3 linked regions of the Arabidopsis thaliana genome follow. The protein of the gene in region 1 purifies or fractionates together with the protein of each later gene. This does not show direct contact. Each region holds a gene or a part of one and is shown on either strand. Other genes may lie near its edges.

What was found. The genes of interacting proteins can lie anywhere in the genome.
Region 2: the proteins of HSP60-2 (region 1) and AtCDC48C fractionate together in Arabidopsis thaliana (co-fractionation; one large-scale study listed by BioGRID). This does not show direct contact.
Region 3: the proteins of HSP60-2 (region 1) and PAE1 fractionate together in Arabidopsis thaliana (co-fractionation; one large-scale study listed by BioGRID). This does not show direct contact.

The regions. Positions count from the first base shown.
Region 1 is NC_003071.7:14,073,889-14,081,684, reverse strand, and holds HSP60-2 (heat shock protein 60-2), read left to right. Parts: upstream 1-2,912; 5' UTR 2,913-3,116; coding exon 3,117-3,154; intron 3,155-3,405; coding exon 3,406-3,430; intron 3,431-3,510; coding exon 3,511-3,642; intron 3,643-3,804; coding exon 3,805-3,964; intron 3,965-4,089; coding exon 4,090-4,361; intron 4,362-4,441; coding exon 4,442-4,546; intron 4,547-4,624; coding exon 4,625-4,711; intron 4,712-4,812; coding exon 4,813-4,902; intron 4,903-4,999; coding exon 5,000-5,080; intron 5,081-5,176; coding exon 5,177-5,245; intron 5,246-5,324; coding exon 5,325-5,402; intron 5,403-5,513; coding exon 5,514-5,609; intron 5,610-5,702; coding exon 5,703-5,802; intron 5,803-5,895; coding exon 5,896-5,999; intron 6,000-6,081; coding exon 6,082-6,187; intron 6,188-6,301; coding exon 6,302-6,380; intron 6,381-6,456; coding exon 6,457-6,592; 3' UTR 6,593-6,918; downstream 6,919-7,796. Other genes in the region: YUC7 (YUCCA 7), read left to right, coding at 1-412, 538-909, 1,050-1,274; AT2G33220 (GRIM-19 protein), read right to left, coding at 1,184-1,280, 1,760-1,900, 1,982-2,053, 2,497-2,711. UniProt on the Arabidopsis thaliana protein: Implicated in mitochondrial protein import and macromolecular assembly. May facilitate the correct folding of imported proteins.
Region 2 is NC_003076.8:808,530-815,362, reverse strand, and holds AtCDC48C (ATPase, AAA-type, CDC48 protein), read left to right. Parts: upstream 1-2,069; 5' UTR 2,070-2,229; coding exon 2,230-2,258; intron 2,259-2,404; coding exon 2,405-2,567; intron 2,568-2,826; coding exon 2,827-3,055; intron 3,056-3,154; coding exon 3,155-4,857; intron 4,858-4,961; exon of another isoform or gene 4,962-4,963; coding exon 4,964-5,272; 3' UTR 5,273-5,533; downstream 5,534-6,833. Other genes in the region: AT5G03345 (membrane magnesium transporter-like protein), read right to left, coding at 648-839, 941-989, 1,091-1,167; AT5G03330 (Cysteine proteinases superfamily protein), read right to left, coding at 5,755-5,810, 5,907-5,963, 6,062-6,146, 6,248-6,296, 6,381-6,454, 6,549-6,623, 6,722-6,776. UniProt on the Arabidopsis thaliana protein: Probably functions in cell division and growth processes. Interacts with certain SNAREs as part of specialized membrane fusion events where vesicles from the same organelle fuse (homotypic fusion).
Region 3 is NC_003070.9:20,102,456-20,108,151, forward strand, and holds PAE1 (20S proteasome alpha subunit E1), read right to left. Parts: upstream 3,623-5,696; 5' UTR 3,494-3,622; exon of another isoform or gene 3,406-3,493; 5' UTR 3,338-3,405; coding exon 3,324-3,337; intron 3,230-3,323; coding exon 3,148-3,229; intron 2,928-3,147; coding exon 2,847-2,927; intron 2,669-2,846; coding exon 2,555-2,668; intron 2,470-2,554; coding exon 2,368-2,469; intron 2,255-2,367; coding exon 2,196-2,254; intron 2,104-2,195; coding exon 2,001-2,103; intron 1,905-2,000; coding exon 1,839-1,904; intron 1,769-1,838; coding exon 1,676-1,768; 3' UTR 1,301-1,675; downstream 1-1,300. Other genes in the region: PME1 (pectin methylesterase 1), read left to right, coding at 1-161, 327-1,003; AT1G53860 (Remorin family protein), read right to left, coding at 4,710-4,934, 5,553-5,634. UniProt on the Arabidopsis thaliana protein: The proteasome is a multicatalytic proteinase complex which is characterized by its ability to cleave peptides with Arg, Phe, Tyr, Leu, and Glu adjacent to the leaving group at neutral or slightly basic pH.

The DNA.
Region 1 (7,796 bases):
CCCGGAGTATCCAACGAAGTACCAGTTTATTGAGTACCTTGAGTCCTACGCTACCCACTTTGATCTCCGCCCCAAGTTCAATGAGACGGTCCAATCAGCTAAATATGACAAGAGGTTTGGGCTGTGGCGGGTCCAGACTGTTTTGAGAAGCGAGCTGCTCGGTTATTGTGAGTTCGAGTATATATGCAGGTGGCTCGTGGTGGCGACGGGAGAGAATGCTGAGAAAGTGGTGCCGGAGTTTGAGGGTTTAGAAGATTTTGGTGGTGATGTTCTTCACGCTGGAGATTATAAATCCGGCGAGAGGTACCGCGGAAAACGAGTTCTCGTAGTTGGATGTGGAAACTCAGGCATGGAAGTCTCTCTTGATCTATGCAATCATGATGCGAGCCCATCAATGGTCGTTCGAAGCTCCGTAAGTAAAATTCAGTAAATTATACCCACCAAGTTACGAAAAACAGAGCACCCTGATTCTTAGTAGCTCCTCTGTTTAAAACAGAGCATCTGATAGTTATACTCTGTTTTTCCTTGTTCGATCAGGTTCATGTATTACCGAGAGAAGTTCTTGGGAAGTCGACGTTCGAGTTAAGTGTAACAATGATGAAATGGATGCCGGTTTGGCTCGTGGACAAGACTCTTCTCGTTCTCACAAGGTTACTTCTAGGGAACACCGATAAGTATGGGCTCAAGAGGCCTGAAATTGGACCGTTAGAGCTGAAGAACACCGCAGGTAAAACTCCCGTGCTAGACATCGGAGCCATTTCAATGATCAAATCAGGAAAGATCAAAATCGTAGCGGGAATAGCTAAGTTTGGTCCGGGAAAGGTCGAACTCGTGGATGGTCGAGTTCTGCAGATTGATTCAGTGATTCTTGCCACTGGTTACAGAAGCAATGTCCCTTCATGGCTTAAGGTAGACAAAAGTATTATCTTTTTCAGATTTTTGTCTCAAAAGATAACATTTTATAGGACCATAGAATACCGGTATTGATAGTTATGGGAAGTTTGATAAAAACTAAGACGTTGATTGGTGATTGATTTATTGTTATGCAGGAAAACGACTTGGGTGAGATTGGGATAGAGAAAAACCCATTTCCAAAAGGGTGGAAAGGGAAGGCTGGATTGTATGCGGTGGGATTCACCGGAAGAGGACTCTCAGGTGCATCGTTCGATGCAATGAGTGTAGCTCATGACATTGCCAATAGCTGGAAAGAAGAAACTAAGCAACAGATCAAAACTGTCGCTACTCGCCACCGTCGTTGTATTTCACACTTTTGATTTTCACTGTTTATACGAAAACATATATGAGAAGAGGTAAAAAAGAGAGGATCGATAGTGTTATGTGATGTGAAAATCAAAGAGATAAGCCCACTCCATGAGAGTATAACTGTGAAATGTGTTTGAGCTTATTTTCTTGTAAGGAGGATGTGGCTCCATGTATTTAACGTATTCTTTAACATTCCAACTTATCTTTTGTTAGCAAATGTGTTTGATTAGAGCTGATCTAGAAAGTTTAAAACATGATTAGTTTAAACAAAATATATGAACATGTGTCTGAAACTGATTTCGTCATTGACAGAAATAAGTGAATGAGGGAAAAATACCGAAAACATTCCTCCGTACCGTACCAGCAATACATGAACTGTGTATGTATCATTTCTCTTATTATACGATGGAAATATAGAGACAACAAACATCAAGGTTCTAAAATGCTTAAACAAACATTCATTCATCATCATCAAAAGGAGCCATTGAAATTTTACCAGACATCAGGACGAAGCTCTCCGGTAGCTGGAGGCATCCAACGACCAGAATTGTACACGTTTTCACCGACTTTCCATCCAGGAACATCCTTCATCACATCCGCCTCGTATTCTAGATACTTCTTCCACTCAGACACAAACCTATTTACAAATCAACACGTGGTGATCCAATGTGAGAGTTTGTACCACACAAGCAAACATAACTTCTTTTGTGAATCCTACCTTTCATCTTCTTCAGCTTGAAGAATCGGTAGAATTGCTCTACGTGCAGCGTACTTCTCTTCCTTCAACGCCCTATCATCACAGCAATCTTCATTAAAACTTTGGAGTTGATACATTGTGCTCATTTTGACACTTTTGTCATCATTATGCAATTGAGAGTCTAACAATAGAAGACTATTAGAGAATGTCACTTACACACACCAAGAAAGATAACACTGTGTTGTCTTATTCGTTGCAAATTACTCCAAATCGACACTAATCAAGCTAAATAACTCACAATGTGACCATCTAAAAACCAATATGCAACTAACCACTAGTATATCATCTTGCAATTTGATTGCTTTCTTCATCACAGCTCAAGAGATCGTTAATTAGTAACCAATTTCGAGACTAACCACACAAATTTATAAGCATCAATCCCAAATTGTCTTAAGATTCAATCCCAAATTACTCAAAATTTCACAATAGAGAAAAGCCTAACCAAACTCAAATTCCACATCTCATTATCTAATTACCTGCGGATTTTGTTGCCCTGACCAACTTGGTACATGCCCCAAGCAAAAGCACCGGAAACGGTAAGGAAAATAGCCATGGCGCTAGGTCCCGTGTTGGAGATCCGGCGAGCATATCGGACCGGCGCGAATCCACCAGGTGGTGGACCATCCTGAAGCAACGGCATATCCTTCACACTCGCCATTCCTGGCTTCTTCCTTATCATCGCCTCCGTCATCTTCTTCCTCGATTGATCCCCAAATCGATCTTTGATTCGTTAATCAGTGTGTGTTCTAGGGATTCTGAGAAAGACAATCAGAAATGAAATGAAATGAAAAATCTTTTTTTTGGTGACTTTTTTTTTAAAATGTTGTAATAATGAACTGGGCTTTAAAAGGCCCATATTAAAATAGTACCGGGTCAAAACTCGAACCGGATCCAAAACCGGAGGCTAAAACTCGACCAAGCAATGATGAGCTTGGAGAAAACGTAAAACCCTAAACCCTACTGCTTATAGAATCTTCGACGATCTGCTTCATTTCTCCTCATCTACGAGTGAGAGAATTTGTCAATTTAGCTTCTTTAGTTCGGTCTGATCTGAATTAATTGCAATCTTCTCGGTTGTGTGAGAGAATCAATCACCATGTATCGGCTTGTCTCCAACGTTGCTTCCAAAGCTAGGTAGATCTATTCGACTTTTTGGTTTTCTTTGTGTATATGATTCCAATGCTGCTTTATTTTCTGTGAATTTGTTTCTGATTGGATCCTCGAAATCGGAAAGTTGCGAGAAACTGTTGGGAATTGAATCGGATTTTGATCGGATTGAATTGAATATTTCTCTGCCATTGGAGAGTTTAGCATCTTCTATTTTCTTTGTATTTCTGGAAGTTGCTTCATTTATTGATGGGATTTATTTTTCTTTGTTTCAACAGGATTGCCAGAAAGTGTACAAGCCAGGTTCGTGTTCTTCATTTTGTATCTAATTTGTGGTTTAGCCGTTTGTGGGTATGTATTGATGTGAATTTGTGTATTGTTAGATTGGAAGCAGGCTCAATTCTACTAGGAATTATGCAGCAAAAGACATAAGGTTCGGTGTTGAAGCTCGGGCTTTAATGCTTAGGGGTGTTGAGGATCTTGCTGATGCAGTTAAAGTCACTATGGGACCCAAGGTATAAACTTATGTTTCAGATAATTTCTGTGTAAGAGACTTGTATTGTAAGTGAATCTAGTTAAAAATAGATAACGTGACGACCTATTGACAAGTATCAACAATCGTCTGTTTTGTTACCCTCACACTCTCTGATACTACATGTCTAAAACCATTTTTGAAGGGTCGTAATGTCATCATCGAACAAAGCTGGGGTGCACCAAAGGTGACAAAGGATGGTGTGACTGTTGCCAAGAGCATTGAGTTCAAGGATAGAATTAAGAACGTTGGTGCCAGTCTTGTGAAACAGGTTGCTAACGCCACAAATGACGTAGCTGGTGATGGTAAGTGTTCCCTTTCAATGGATTAAAACGTTTTTTCTGTTTTTGCTAATTGGGTTGTTAGTCTCCTATCTACTCATATTAATCGGTGTTTTTGTATCTGACAAAATATATGGTATGCGTTACAGGAACAACGTGTGCCACAGTCCTTACTAGAGCTATCTTCACGGAAGGTTGTAAATCAGTTGCCGCTGGAATGAATGCAATGGACCTAAGACGTGGTATCAAATTGGCAGTTGATACTGTTGTGACGAACTTGCAGAGCCGAGCACGCATGATTAGCACCTCTGAAGAAATCGCCCAAGTTGGAACAATATCAGCTAATGGAGATAGGGAAATTGGTGAACTGATTGCAAAGGCTATGGAAACTGTCGGCAAAGAGGGAGTGATCACAATTCAAGTGAGTTGAATTTTATCCCTAAATGTCAAATTATTTTGCTTATTCCTTAAGGTGACCAATGTTATCATCTCTTGATTCAGGATGGCAAGACCTTGTTTAATGAGCTGGAAGTTGTTGAGGGTATGAAGATTGACAGGGGATACATCTCCCCGTACTTCATAACTAACCCGAAAACACAAAAATGTGTAAGGATTCCCACCTTGTTACTTTATCAATTTAAGGAATTGCGGATTTAATTTGCTCTGAATGAATATGTGTTGCAGGAACTAGAAGATCCTCTCATTCTTATCCACGAGAAGAAAATTTCCAATATAAACGCAATGGTGAAAGTATTAGAACTGGCCCTCAAGGTATAAACAATTTGGCGATTTCTTCACTGTCAATAGTGTCTGATATTCATTAAGTTACTTTGATCTGAAGATCGAAATTTATTTTCACTGCCATTTTTCAGAAGCAAAGGCCGCTGCTGATCGTTGCTGAGGATGTGGAGAGCGATGCTCTTGCCACCCTAATTCTGAACAAACTTCGTGCTAATATCAAGGTTTTTCTTTTCAGCCTTTTGTTATTTGCCTTTTCCTTACAACGTCTTAGTAAAAAATTAATTTGATTGGATTGATGTACATGGTATTGCTTTATAGGTCTGTGCTGTGAAGGCCCCTGGTTTTGGAGAGAACCGAAAGGCCAATTTACATGATCTAGCTGCCCTCACTGGAGCCCAGGCATGCCCATGTTTCTTTTTATAATAACTGCCAAGACCATCACACCCACACTAATCGGATGAGCCATAATGTGTCTTTGGTGATTTCACTTTGTAGGTAATAACAGAAGAGTTGGGTATGAATCTAGACAACATTGACCTCAGTATGTTTGGAAACTGCAAGAAGGTTCGTTTGGTCCAATTCCTTCTGCTTTCTCTCTTTCTCCCTTGTACCTTCTGATAACTTGGTTTTCATTTGTTAACAGGTAACGGTATCCAAAGATGATACTGTTGTTCTCGATGGGGCTGGTGACAAGCAAGCAATTGGGGAACGATGTGAACAGGTTAGCGTGTTTTTCGCTTTTTTATCATTTAGTGGTTCAGTGTCATATACCTTTGCCCTTTTTTCCAACTGGTAGTTTTAATATGTTTTGAATTTTTATTAAACCACGCAGATACGATCCATGGTTGAAGCAAGCACTTCTGATTATGACAAGGAGAAGTTGCAAGAAAGGTTGGCTAAGCTTTCGGGTGGTGTTGCTGTACTAAAGGTAATGTACACCTCTTGTGAACATCAGACTAATAGGCTATTAATGCATTATTAGTTTATTACTAATGTCGAGATTACTCATATGGGTTTTTAGATTGGAGGAGCAAGTGAGACAGAAGTTAGTGAAAAGAAAGATAGAGTAACGGATGCTCTAAATGCCACTAAAGCAGCCGTAGAGGAGGGTATTGTTCCAGGTATAATCTATCCCAAATCTAAAACAAAATTTGGTTGAATCCCTTAAGAAAATTGCGTGAGAAGAGAATTATATTACTTTGTGTGTATTACAGGTGGTGGTGTTGCTCTTTTGTATGCTTCGAAAGAACTTGAGAAGCTTTCCACAGCTAACTTTGATCAGAAAATTGGTGTTCAAATCATTCAAAACGCACTCAAGGTGTTTCTCTCATCACATTGTTCATCCTCGCTAGCATAAACAGCTTCTAGAATCTTACACACAAAATCTTTCTTTGATGCAGACACCTGTTTACACGATTGCTTCCAATGCTGGAGTCGAGGGTGCAGTTGTCGTAGGCAAGCTTTTGGAACAAGATAATCCTGACCTTGGTTATGATGCTGCTAAAGGTTACACTCTTATATGCATTAGATAATTCACTTTCTATAGTTCTTGATCCACCTTGTTATATATTTCCCTATATTCCGAAATCTGAACTAGCTTCTTTTGGCATTTACTTTCAGGAGAATATGTGGACATGATAAAGGCTGGTATTATCGATCCTTTGAAAGTGATCAGAACCGCATTAGTTGATGCTGCAAGGTACACAAAGATTGAAAATTGGTTGTCCAATTTTGTATTTTATTGCAATGTTTTGCTAATTTATTCTATTGGTTAGTGTTTCGTCTTTGTTGACAACGACGGAAGCAGTTGTGACTGAGATTCCAACGAAAGAGGTAGCATCTCCGGGTATGGGCGGTGGTGGCATGGGCGGCATGGGTGGCATGGGCGGTATGGGAGGAATGGGTTTCTGAGGAGAACTATAAACCCTGAGTAGGGTTCTTTGGAATCTGTTGTGAGAGATGCTACGGTTGGTTCATCCACAAGACACTAATGTATTCTTTAATCATGATTGGTAGAGAGAGACCTTCAGATTTTCCGTGATTTTCAATTCACAAACGATTTATAAACTATTTTGAAGAAGATCCTTTTCCGATTCATGCAAATTTCTTCCAAAAATAATTCAGATTAGAGAGTTCAGTGAAACATCAAGTAGGTTGTGTTTGCGCATATGGAGGAGATTCCTTAGTTCTCGCCAACTATCACCAAACCCTTATATCTTATTAACACGATATTTAGCTGTTTATTTATATGTGGTTCAAGTAACAGACTACTTATTTCAAATAAAAAATGGAAAAAGCTTTTTTCATAGAACGAAACAAACGATATAGTGTAGTTTAAAGTATGTTACCCGAAAAAGAAAGCAAATCTACTTAACACGGTCCACAATTCGCGTGGTGAAGAAGGTTATAATTGGGTCCCAAAACATTCATTTCCCCCCAAAAAAAGTCATAATTATGAACCAAACTCTTTTTGTCTTCACGTCTTTGTCCGTTCCATAACCATAGCTTGCCCTACTTATTATAGCAGTAAGCCATAATCAAGGAAACCGTATTTGTATGTAACTTAATATTGTGGATTGATTACAGCTTGGAGGGAATTGATTCAATTTGGCCAGTTGGTCAAACGCAATGGTATAAGTCCACCGAACTAGATGGCAAAAACAAAAACAATTTGAGAATGTTCTTAAAAGTTCCAGTTCAAATGTGTTGTAAATAGTCAAATTCCTTTTACGAACGATATAAAAGTAGTCAAATAGAGATAGGGAATAAAGAAAAATACTTATCTAGATGATGAATTAGCTTAACGAGAAAACTATTAGTATCTGTTTTGGCAAGAAAATTTTATGTCTCGGTTGATTACACACACTTTTTAGTTAAACTACAAGTAATCAATCATAGATTTTACTTTAAGAAAGTTCCACAAACACGACGTGGCTGTCCATTATAACATAACCTCGTGGTCATGGAATGTTTCGTCTTATTTTATTTTTAATATTACACAATGTTCAAAGTTCTCAATTAGCAAGTTTCATGTGGTGTGATGAAAATCATTAACCATAAAAACCAACACTCAAGCGGAAATCCAACTCTCTTAAATTAAAATAATTCACTCAAA
Region 2 (6,833 bases), on another chromosome or scaffold:
ACAGGAGATATTCACTTTATCTAGCAAAAGCCAAACTCAAAACCAATTCAAGAACCTAATGTACAAAAAGGTAGGGGAGAGGCTGCGACATAGAAGGAACCAAAGTGGGTCTAAAGAGCCAATGAAACAAATATAAACTGATTGAATTAGCCAGGAGCAGAACTGGTTAAAGCTCTTGAAACCCATAATCGTAACTGGACCAAATATAAACTAGAAAATGTCCCTTTGAATGTCCTGCATTTTAGAAAACCTTAGCTGCACAAAGTATTAAAGAAACATCAATGTTTGACCTAGAACATCTCTAGACGACAGTTTCTTATCAATAAACATGAGTCTTTGGTGGTCATTCAATCATCGGGAAATATAATAACTACCAAATTTCCATGTTTCAGATTGATAAACACTGATGCACAACAGAGAGTTAAAGAGACATCAAAACTAGACCCTCGAAACATCTCTAGAGCACAAGTTCTTTGAATCAATTGATTAACAACACATCCGTAAACCTTCTCAGTCAAAAGAAAACATATTCACTAGAAACACCCATGATTAAACTGAATAATTGAACCAAATCTAGCCAGAAGATGCTTCTATAAGACCCGTAGTAACTCTACACCAAGTTCAACAAAGTACGAACAGAGAAAAATTCAATAGTAAAAACACTCACTAGATAACATGAATTCAGATTGATTAACACTGATGCAAAACAGAGAGTTCGAGAGAAACATGATCACAAACCTGTTTTCATCAGAATCCGGATGGATCGAGAGAAATTTACCAGGGAAAGTCAAAGCAGCCCACATACACAGAGCTAGTCCAATGATCAACTCCAGAATAACCTTAAATAAATCCAATCATGATTCATATAAAAGCATAATCATTGCTGATATAATTCAAACACAATTGAGGAAAAGAGAAACCGTTATCATTATATACTCACATTAATCGGTGGTCGAGAAAACTCTTCCTCCATAATCTTCAACAATCCTCTATCTGAAATAAACAAGAGAAACCCAAATCAAGATCCTATCTCGAAAATTAAAGTAGATCTGACTCAATTGGAACTGGAATTGGATTGGGAAGAGTAGACATACATTGGATTGTTGAATAAGCGGCATGAGAAAGAATAAGAACGCCGAAAACTCCAACTAAGAACCCCAAATTCATCTTTAGAAGTTCTCTTTTTTAATTTTCTTCTTCTCTAAGTTGATTCCCGATCTGGATTTTCTCGTCGAGTATTCTCCGTCGAGAATCGAACTAGAATAGAAGACGATCAGTGGAGTTTAAAACGGCATGTAGTTATAATATCGCAAATCTCAAAGTGAAAACGGCGCAACGTCTAATATCGAAGAGACTAACAACGGCGCGTAGTTCTAGATTGATGATATCCTAGATTCCTATTAATCTTTTGTAACCCAAACTTTTTTTTAAGTAACTAATATTTTTAATTAGATGAAAGTTCAGTTAGTTTGATAACTTTTTTACAACAATAAGGGTTTATCTTTTGGGAAAATAATTATTTTTTCGTATAATAAATAATTATGAATATTTATTTAGAATTTCATATTGATGATATATTCATATGCAAACAAAAATTTCTGCAATTATTGAATTGAATCGTATGTTGATAACTTCGTATAAAAAAAACGGAAATCTATTTTAGAACAAAGAAATCAAATGGTAAGATATTAAATTTCTATTTATAAAAAAGTAAGAAAAACATGTAGCTTGCTTTGGTACCGCTACCTAAGAACCTTCTATTCCTTTCTTGTGTTTGCTAAAACCAGAAAGTAAAACTGTTATCCTCACCTCTCTTTTACTTTTATTTTCAACTTTCCCCCATAACGTTTTTAATAAACATTTACGTACCCTCGCCACACTATTAAAATAAGTTTAAAATTACATCAAATTTTTTAATTCTTCATATAGGTAGATTTTTGTTTTGATTCTCGATAAATCATATAATAATATAAATTAATTGATATGATGTTAAGGGAACATGGGTGTATTTATCACAACACCTAGTTTTTGGAACTTTTCAAGATAAACTTAAAAGTTAAGGGTCGCTTATTTTTCCAACAAGAAGGAAATCACAGAGCGTATAAAATCCCGAGTTCAGCTCCCTTGAGATCCCATTCATCATCATCATCATCATCACCAATCGATCTCTCTAGAAACAAATTTCCCAACTTCCTTCTTAGAGCTCTCTTGTCAGTTTAAGCTATCATTATGTCAAACGAACCGGAATCCTCCGACTCGTAAGTACTTAGATCTTTGATTTTTGTTTTCCGATCATAAAGTTTCGATTTTTTTACTTGGGTTTTTCGATATTGAGAATAGGGTTTTTTAGTTTGATCTCATCTGAAAGCTGATTTTGTTTGTCTTCCTGGGGTATTTGTTTCAGGAAAACTAAGAAGGATTTCAGTACTGCGATTCTAGAGAGGAAGAAGTCTCCAAACCGACTTGTTGTCGATGAAGCTATTAACGATGACAACTCTGTTGTCTCTCTCCATCCTACTACCATGGAAAAACTCCAGCTTTTCCGAGGCGATACAATTCTCATCAAGGTTAGGTTTTGTTCCTTATGTCACTATGTTAGGGTGTTTTGAGTTTAGACTTGGTTTGGATCGTCTGTGTCTTGACTGTATATCACGAGCATGTTGTAAACATATTCAGTTATGTTTTTTACTTTGTCTGATCTTGTAAACATATTCAGTTAGGGTACAACTTTTTTGTCTGAAGTTTTTTTTTTTGAGTTTAGAATTGGTTTGGATTGTTCTTTTTATCTCTGTGATTACTTACTTGATTGGGGTTTTGGATTTTCAGGGTAAGAAGAGGAAGGACACTGTATGCATTGCCCTCGCTGATGAAACATGTGAGGAACCCAAGATCAGAATGAATAAGGTTGTAAGGTCTAACTTGAGGGTTAGGCTGGGAGATGTTATTTCTGTTCACCAATGCCCAGATGTCAAGTATGGAAAGCGTGTTCACATCTTGCCTGTTGATGATACAGTTGAAGGCGTTACTGGAAACCTCTTTGATGCTTACCTGAAACGTAAGTTTGCTTTAATCTTTTGATTCTCTCTTTCATATCATAGTCTAGCTTGTCTTTTGGAGTTCGTGTTTTCTAAACTTATATTGTTTTTTTCACCAGCTTACTTTCTGGAGGCGTACCGTCCAGTGAGGAAGGGAGATCTTTTCCTAGTGAGAGGAGGAATGAGGAGTGTGGAGTTCAAAGTGATCGAGACTGATCCTGCTGAGTACTGTGTGGTGGCTCCAGATACAGAGATTTTCTGTGAGGGTGAACCAGTTAAGAGGGAGGACGAAGAAAGGCTTGATGAGGTTGGTTATGACGATGTTGGTGGTGTCAGGAAACAGATGGCTCAGATTAGGGAATTGGTTGAACTTCCCTTGAGGCATCCACAACTCTTTAAATCAATTGGTGTGAAGCCACCAAAGGGAATTCTGCTTTACGGACCTCCTGGATCCGGGAAGACTCTTATTGCTCGTGCTGTGGCTAATGAAACCGGAGCATTCTTCTTCTGTATCAATGGACCGGAAATCATGTCGAAACTAGCTGGTGAGAGTGAGAGCAACCTCAGGAAAGCATTTGAGGAGGCTGAGAAGAATGCCCCGTCTATCATATTCATTGATGAGATTGACTCTATTGCACCAAAAAGAGAGAAGACGAATGGTGAGGTTGAGAGGAGGATTGTCTCTCAGCTCCTTACGCTTATGGATGGACTAAAATCACGTGCCCATGTTATTGTTATGGGAGCAACAAATCGTCCCAACAGTATTGATCCGGCTTTGAGAAGGTTTGGAAGATTCGACAGGGAAATTGATATCGGTGTTCCTGATGAAATTGGACGTCTTGAAGTTCTTAGGATCCACACGAAGAACATGAAGCTAGCTGAAGATGTTGATCTAGAAAGAATCTCCAAGGACACGCATGGATATGTTGGAGCTGATCTTGCAGCTCTATGCACTGAAGCTGCCCTTCAATGTATCAGAGAGAAGATGGATGTGATTGACTTGGAAGATGACTCAATTGACGCCGAAATCCTCAATTCCATGGCTGTGTCTAATGAACACTTCCACACTGCTCTTGGAAACAGCAACCCATCCGCCCTTCGTGAAACTGTTGTGGAGGTTCCAAATGTCTCCTGGGAGGATATTGGAGGTCTCGAGAATGTTAAGAGAGAGCTTCAGGAGACTGTTCAATACCCTGTGGAGCATCCAGAGAAATTCGAGAAGTTTGGTATGTCTCCATCAAAGGGAGTTCTTTTCTACGGTCCTCCTGGATGTGGTAAAACCCTGTTAGCCAAAGCTATAGCAAACGAGTGCCAAGCAAACTTCATCAGTGTCAAGGGACCCGAGCTTCTCACAATGTGGTTTGGAGAAAGTGAAGCCAACGTCCGAGAAATCTTTGACAAGGCTCGTCAATCTGCTCCTTGTGTTCTGTTTTTCGATGAGCTAGACTCCATTGCTACTCAGAGAGGGAACAGCGCGGGTGATGCCGGCGGTGCAGCTGACAGAGTGTTGAATCAGCTTTTGACAGAAATGGATGGAATGAATGCAAAGAAGACGGTATTCATTATTGGAGCAACTAACAGACCGGATATCATAGATTCAGCTCTTCTTCGACCTGGAAGACTCGACCAGCTTATCTACATTCCTCTACCTGATGAAGATTCCCGTCTCAATATCTTTAAGGCCTGCTTGAGAAAATCTCCCGTCGCTAAAGATGTAGATGTTACTGCACTCGCAAAGTACACTCAGGGATTCAGTGGTGCTGATATCACCGAGATCTGCCAGAGAGCTTGCAAGTACGCCATCAGAGAAAACATCGAAAAGGTCAGTGATTTGATTACCTCCTGAAACATGTGATTAAGGAACCTTAAGTGCCAATTCGTTTTAATTGTTCTAATCTTGACCCTTTTTTGTGTGTTTTGTTCCTCAGGATATTGAGAACGAGCGTAGAAGGAGCCAGAATCCAGAGGCCATGGAGGAAGATATGGTGGATGATGAAGTTTCAGAGATTAGAGCTGCTCATTTCGAAGAGTCGATGAAATATGCAAGGAGAAGTGTGAGTGATGCTGATATTCGCAAGTACCAAGCTTTTGCTCAGACGCTGCAGCAATCCAGAGGGTTTGGATCTGAGTTCAGGTTTGACTCAACCGCTGGTGTCGGACGCACCACTGGTGTTGCAGCCGCCGATCCCTTTGCCACTTCTGCAGCTGCAGCTGATGACGACGATCTCTACAGTTAGATTTTGATTTCTTAGTGATCGTTTTTCTTCTTTCTTTAACTTAAATTAGGTTCTTTTGGATGATGTCGAGATTGATACAGTTTAAAATCATCTGGGTTTGCCAGCTTATAATCACTTGAGCAAATTATTTCTATGTTTATTTCATTCACAATGCCTTTGATCGGTTACTTAACGTTAATTTCTTAGGAAGTTATAATATACGAGAAAAAAATCAATCGTTGGAACCGTTAGAATTTGGAACGTTAACAAGCTGAATAAGGAAATGATCAAAATTTTGTGTATTTTATTTAATTTGTTAATTCTGTTTTTTTAAAAGAAAATTTTCTTTCTTTCAAAGAAGAAAATAATATTATTGTAAGGCTTTGAAGCTGTGAGCTCTGTTCAGCATCCTCTCTCTCTCTACGAAGGGACTATGTCTAAGAACATCTCTCTCAAGTCAATAAATATTAATGTAACCCAGTGATGATGATCCAATGGTCTGTCTAGTTTCCGAAACGCCACCATTTTCTCTTCCTCTGTAGCTCTGTTTCAGATGTATCTGAACACCAAAAAATATGGAGAAGAAGAAGAGAATTAAGATGAAGAGGAAAGAAGCGAAACATAGTCTGTGAAACAAAAGGTTTCTCGAAGTTACCTCTGTTTAAGTAGATGGCGTTGTAATGAACCTCTGCCCAGAAGCTCAAGAAGATTACTGCAGACAACAAGAGCAAAATAAAAGATCACTGTAATAACCAGCAAGAGAGAGGTATAGTAGACAAACAAAATTTACAGTGAAAGAAAACTCTTTACCTCCTTTGGATTCTTGGGAGGTAGGAAGAATTTCAATGTAACATGTATCTTTGAACGATGTTAGGACTACTATTTTCACCCGATACTGCAATATTAAAAAGTTTCACCAAACTGATTAACTATGAACTGAGGAAAGTAAAAGGAAGATCACTGCATCTTTTTTTTACAAGATTTAAGAATGAATACCGCATCTGCAGCTGCCTGTAATGTCACATGATCGCCCCATTCGCCGCTCCTGTTCCAAATTTTAACACTAGGCTTTAACAAGAGAATTGGCAGCAAATGCGGTTATGGAGTTCACTAAGAGAAGATATTTTACCGAGACATCTTTCTTAGATAATCAGAGAAGTCCATAGGAACGTATCCTTGATAAGAATCTGGACGAGATTTTAGCTAAACCAGAAGATGAAAATTGAAAAAAAAAGAATGAGTTCATGCAACTTATGGAAGCTAGCAAAGATTCTCAAGAGCAAATAGATCACCAAACCTGTTTTACTATTTGTCGTCGAACATGTTTATGGCGATCTGCGGTTTTGTACAGTTGATCAGCTAAAGCACGGAACTGAAAAGAAAAAATCGGGAGAGAGCATTCAAGATTCAAAATGATGACTCAGAATCTAACTAATTCTTCCAGAACGATCTGCGTATGAAGAAGTATACCTGGCAATTACCATCTCCTGGAACCTTAACCTCAGTGAAGTCAAACATCTCTAACCTGAAACAATGGGAAAGTAATGCAATCAAGAATGGTTTATATATGATAGAAAACATA
Region 3 (5,696 bases), on another chromosome or scaffold:
GTTTGTGATTTATGTGAAGAGTGGAACTTATGTTGAGAATGTTGTGATGGATAAGAGTAAATGGAACGTTATGATTTACGGTGACGGCAAAGGGAAGACCATTATTTCCGGCAGCAAGAACTTCGTCGACGGGACTCCTACTTACGAAACGGCGACGTTTGGTGAGTCCTCTTCTTCCCTTGTTCCTTATTATTATCTTTGATTAAGTTGTTAAGATTAGTGAAGAGGTCAAATTTGATTTGGTTTAGGTAAGAACAAAAAAGACTTGACATTGTTACATAGTTTACCAATTTAGCTATGGTTGTTAAGTTTCTCTTTTGATGCAGCTATACAAGGCAAAGGATTTATAATGAAGGATATTGGAATCATAAACACCGCGGGAGCAGCAAAACACCAAGCTGTGGCATTCCGATCAGGCTCTGATTTCTCAGTCTATTACCAATGCTCATTCGATGGTTTTCAAGACACTCTTTACCCTCACTCCAACCGCCAATTCTACCGTGACTGCGACGTTACTGGGACAATCGACTTCATTTTCGGAAGTGCTGCGGTCGTTTTCCAAGGCTGCAAAATCATGCCTCGCCAGCCTCTTTCTAACCAATTCAACACCATAACCGCTCAGGGCAAAAAAGATCCGAACCAAAGCTCGGGGATGTCGATTCAACGATGCACTATCTCCGCAAACGGCAATGTGATTGCTCCCACGTATCTTGGCCGGCCGTGGAAGGAGTTTTCCACGACGGTTATTATGGAGACGGTGATTGGAGCAGTGGTTCGACCGTCCGGGTGGATGTCATGGGTTTCTGGAGTTGATCCACCAGCAAGTATTGTCTACGGAGAGTATAAGAATACGGGCCCGGGTTCAGATGTAACGCAGAGAGTTAAATGGGCTGGATATAAACCGGTTATGTCGGACGCCGAGGCTGCGAAGTTTACAGTGGCTACGCTTTTACACGGAGCTGATTGGATACCGGCAACAGGAGTGATCAATCAGCTATCTTAATATAGTGACAATACAATTGGATTCGTAGCTTGTTTTTGAAAACATCCGGTTGTGATCTACTTTATATTTGTTTGACACTTATGCATGATCTGTAATTTTTTCCAACATAGTTGTATTTTGTGTATCCCCTAATACGATATCTTCTTGATGTAGAACTATCAAAGCTACTCGCTTTTTGTAGCTCACACCTTGAACTCGAATTATAACACAACGATGATACTGTTACTAACCATTACTCACCTTCATATCCTTGTCATCGGGACATTGTCGACGATGTTACTAACAAACGGGATGATCATAAATCCGATAAAAATCTAATTATCTGATGGCGATTAATTAGGAGCCGGCTCCTAAACAAAAATCTAACTCAATACTAATCTATCCACACTAAACAAAACCAGAATAAACAAGATTAACTTGTGGAGCAAGCCAGAATAAATCTATCCATATAGTCAGGACAAAGCCAAGTCGAAGAGCAAGTAACAAAACGTAAGTGGTAGGAAAGGAAATTTTATAAGTCACAAATCCGAAAGGTTATTGAATGACATGGGAGCCAAAAGATTCTCTTACACAACCGACTAAAATGTGACATGATCCTCAATCTAACAGACAAAAGTAACAAGTTTTGTGACACAAGCTGATAGGTAAATTACCCAAATTGAGTTTTTTCAATCAAAGACGAGCGATGACTGCTTCGACTTCTTGTGGAGTGTAGAGATGATAAGCTGGTGCTACCTTGGCAATATCCACGTTATTTGGAGTCACCTATCACCAACCAATACAATTAGATTGAGCAAGAACTTCTGTTTACAGTTTTGGATTGTAAAATTTGTACCTTTTCTTCCATAACTTGCTTTAGGATAGATACAGCGATAGTCTCAGCTTCTTGTAGAGACAAATCCTGCAACAAGTTAATGAAACTAAAGGTTTTAATGGCAAATAAAGTGATGTAATCAAATAATTTATTGAAAAACAATTGGGAAAAAGTTCAAGTTACTTTGTTGAATTGCTCTTGAAGAGAGCTATCAGCTCCTTCAGAACCTGAACCAATTGCCTTTGCATTGCACTGCCAGAATGTTCCTGAAGGATCAGTGTAGTACCTGTAACAAGACAGAGTCATTTACAAGAAGATAAACTAACTTACACAAGTGAACCATTTCAGTAGAAGAAATCCAACTGAAGGAGAACTTACAAGCTTGGTCCATTTTCATCATGGCCAGCAATGAGAAGAGATACTCCAAACGGCCGAGACTGTAGTCACATTAATGACAAAGAGAATCAGTACACACAATACAACGACTAAATATGGATATCCAACTTATCAAGGTTTTGTTCTAATCAGTAATTCCAATTTTGATTATTACCATTGATTCTTCCTCTCCTTCACCAAACCGTAAAGCCAGATCACACAGTGCTTGTGTTGTGGACTCTACAGTCATCGGCTCACCATACGAGAATCTATGGTTCTGTACAAGAGCAAAAGAAGCCGTCAATAACACATAAAAGACCTGTTGAAGCTAAAAGAAAAGACCCTAGAGACAGAAACCTTACTTGAGTTTCAACTCTAGCATGCTCAACAAGTGTGCGCGCGTCAGCAATTAAACCGCTCATAGCACAACCAATATGGTCATCAATTTCCATAATCTTCTCCACACTGCTCGGTTCCTGGGGAAAAAGAAAAAGCATTTAACATATACTGAGAAAGCTAATATCACCATAACTAACATAGAAAGCTTATATGCTTCTGCTTGATCATATCATCAGATTCAATTCAAATTGTTCCAAAATAGTGAATCACAAGAAAAATTCTGAAAAACATAGAATTCAAAGTTAGCAAGCAAACCAGCAATGGCGACGTGATACGCTTCTCGACAGCAAGCACAACTCCTTCTTTTGTCTTTACTCCAATTGCAGTAGAACCAAGCTGCAACAAAATTCAACACTCATCAGAGTCTCAACAAAATTCAACAATCCCTTTTACAAATTTGAAATGCAAACTACATCGATTAAACAAGGAAATGTGAGCTAGAACTTGTGCAAATAAGCTAAAGCAATCAAAGAAAACCGTAAATCAACCATTACCCTTTCTTCAAAATTTCTCGATTTCCATAGGAAACTAACAAATTGAGGAATCGAAAAGTTACCTTGATAGCTTCAATGGCATATTCCACTTGAAATAGCCTTCCTTCTGGAGAAAAAGTGTTCACTCCTCTGTCATACTCAGTTCTTCGCACAACAAAATCAGAAACCACCATAAGCAAAACAAACGATTGAAGTAAAGGAAGAAAATTTCAATGAACCCAGAAGTAGATAGAGATACCTAGTGAGAAACATCTTCTTCTTCTCTTCCGATTTCGATCTGCAAAACCTCTTAAAGTCCTTCGCACAACGGAATCAAAACCCTAGAAAAACAACGGATCTGAGTTAATCCAGAGATTCAGAGAAAATAAAAATCATCACAATGAACTTGTTGAGAGTATAGAATCAAACCAGCTAATTGATCTGCGAATCGGAGAATAAACAGAAGCTTTTGCTCTCTTTTTAGCTTTCAAAGACGCACTTCTTCTTGAAGAACAAGTTAGATTGTTTCTAAACGCAGCGTTTTTTATAATGGGCTTTCATGGGCCTAACTATATTAAGCCTGGGTCACCCAATTAGGCCTTTCTTTGTATTTTTGAAAAATTATGAGACAGCTATAGAACTGACTGGAATTTGAACATGTTCCAATTTATCTCAATGTCAGAAGTTAAGTGTAACAATAAAAGAAAAAGACAAAAATTGGCAGTCCAGGTTATTATTTTTTTGCTGTACACAAATAAATGTTTTTTTTAGAAATAATTAGTTTTAGTGAATAAAACCAAACAGAAAAGTACAAAATAATTGAAAGAGTGTTGTCTCGTAAAAGTATGGGAACGATGAAAAGCTGTGACTTGTTGCGAGACTTCTTCTCCTTCCAGACGCAAAAGTTTGTCTTTGGTCAGTCTCTCTTATTTCTCTAAACACTTTTGCATGATAACAACTATTCGAATTTCGTTACTAAAAGACAACAAGAACAAAACTCCTTATATATATTAATGGAAATAGTCTTCACTAGTGTTTGTGTTTTTTCCTACCAATTTTAGAACTCCAAAAAAAAAAAAAAAACTTATATATTCTAGTGATTTGTTCTAGTACACTTATGTTTAGGTTTTGGTTTCGATCTCTTTCGATTTAGGCTTTAAAATTTCTGTTTTGTAATGTGTTCATGTTTCCCCTTTATAGGGTTTTAGACTCCAAAAAATTTACGTTTTCCTCCAGCTTTAGTTTTCAAGGACTTTTCTCTCGTACGTCGACTTTAGTTTCCGATGACTTTTCTTTCGTCCATCGGCTTAGCTTCCCTTGTTTGAAATTTGTATTTCACCATGGTTCCAAAACAAGTTTCAGATGAAAGAAAAAAAAAGTTCTAGTACACTTATTTTATACCACTCAAGTTCAACGCACAAAATTACAATTCTATGTTCAACTTTTTTTCGTTTAATTCTGCAAATTAATTTACAGAAAAAAATCCGTTTTTTTGAAAAGAAGTTTTGCGATTCGTTATTCCATATCGGCTTTTTACTTTCTTGCATAAACAATAAACGAACATACATGTTGATAATTGAAACACATAAACAGTAATTTCTTGTGTTTGTTTATGTGTATTTTACTCTCTTTTACTTTGACTGAGTTAATGACAAGTATTATTGCAAGGTAGACAACCACATGAGCTACGGCCGGTAACCAAATAGCCTCGGCGGTTTGTCAATTTCCTCGCCGTCTCGGCCGCTTTCTGCATCTGCTCAACATGTTGCTGCCTCGCCGTAGCTCTCCAATCTTCTGCTCTCCGGTGCACCATATCCATTCTCTTCATTAATTTCTCCTCTAAATTTGATCTCATCTTCTGTATTTTCACCTACAACAATAATTACCACCCCAAATATCACACATTAATTATTTAAAACTTCATCACTCAACTACATTTATGGACTATTAATTATGATTATATAGCTAGATAATTATGATTAATAGTTAATAATTAAATTTTAGTCTCCAAATTCTCAAGAGAGGAAATTACTAATTTTTTCACATGGGACTTGCACAAATTACAAGTACGACTATCATGTAGCTACTACATAACCACCAAAATCGCAGACATTAATTCTTGAAAATTAATCATTTCAATATAGCTACATTTATTTTTAAAGTTTAATCCAAATTATGTAGCTAGATGATAGATGATTGATAATTTAATCTAAGACTCCAATTTCCCAAGAGAGTAAATCAATCTTTTCACATGGGACTTGCACAAATTACAAGTACAGGCTACAAAGATGTCATCCCAATTTTAAAATTAGAAACTCAAAGACTTTTGCCTAATAAAGCAACAAAGACTAGTCAATGAAACTAAGTAAAGGACTCCGAACATTACTCTAATATTGGCGCGTGGCTCCACAATTCCGTTAGAACATAACAAAATCCGTATTTCTACACCGTATATCTCAACAAAATATACGTATACACATACACATACCTCAAGCTTTCTAGATTGAGCTTCGGCTTTAGCGTTTTCAAGATTAACCCATGCTTGAATTTTGGCCTCTTCTCTTTGATACCTTCAAAAAAAATTCAACTTTTCAATTTTCATAATTTCATCAAGATTTTTTTTTTCACCATC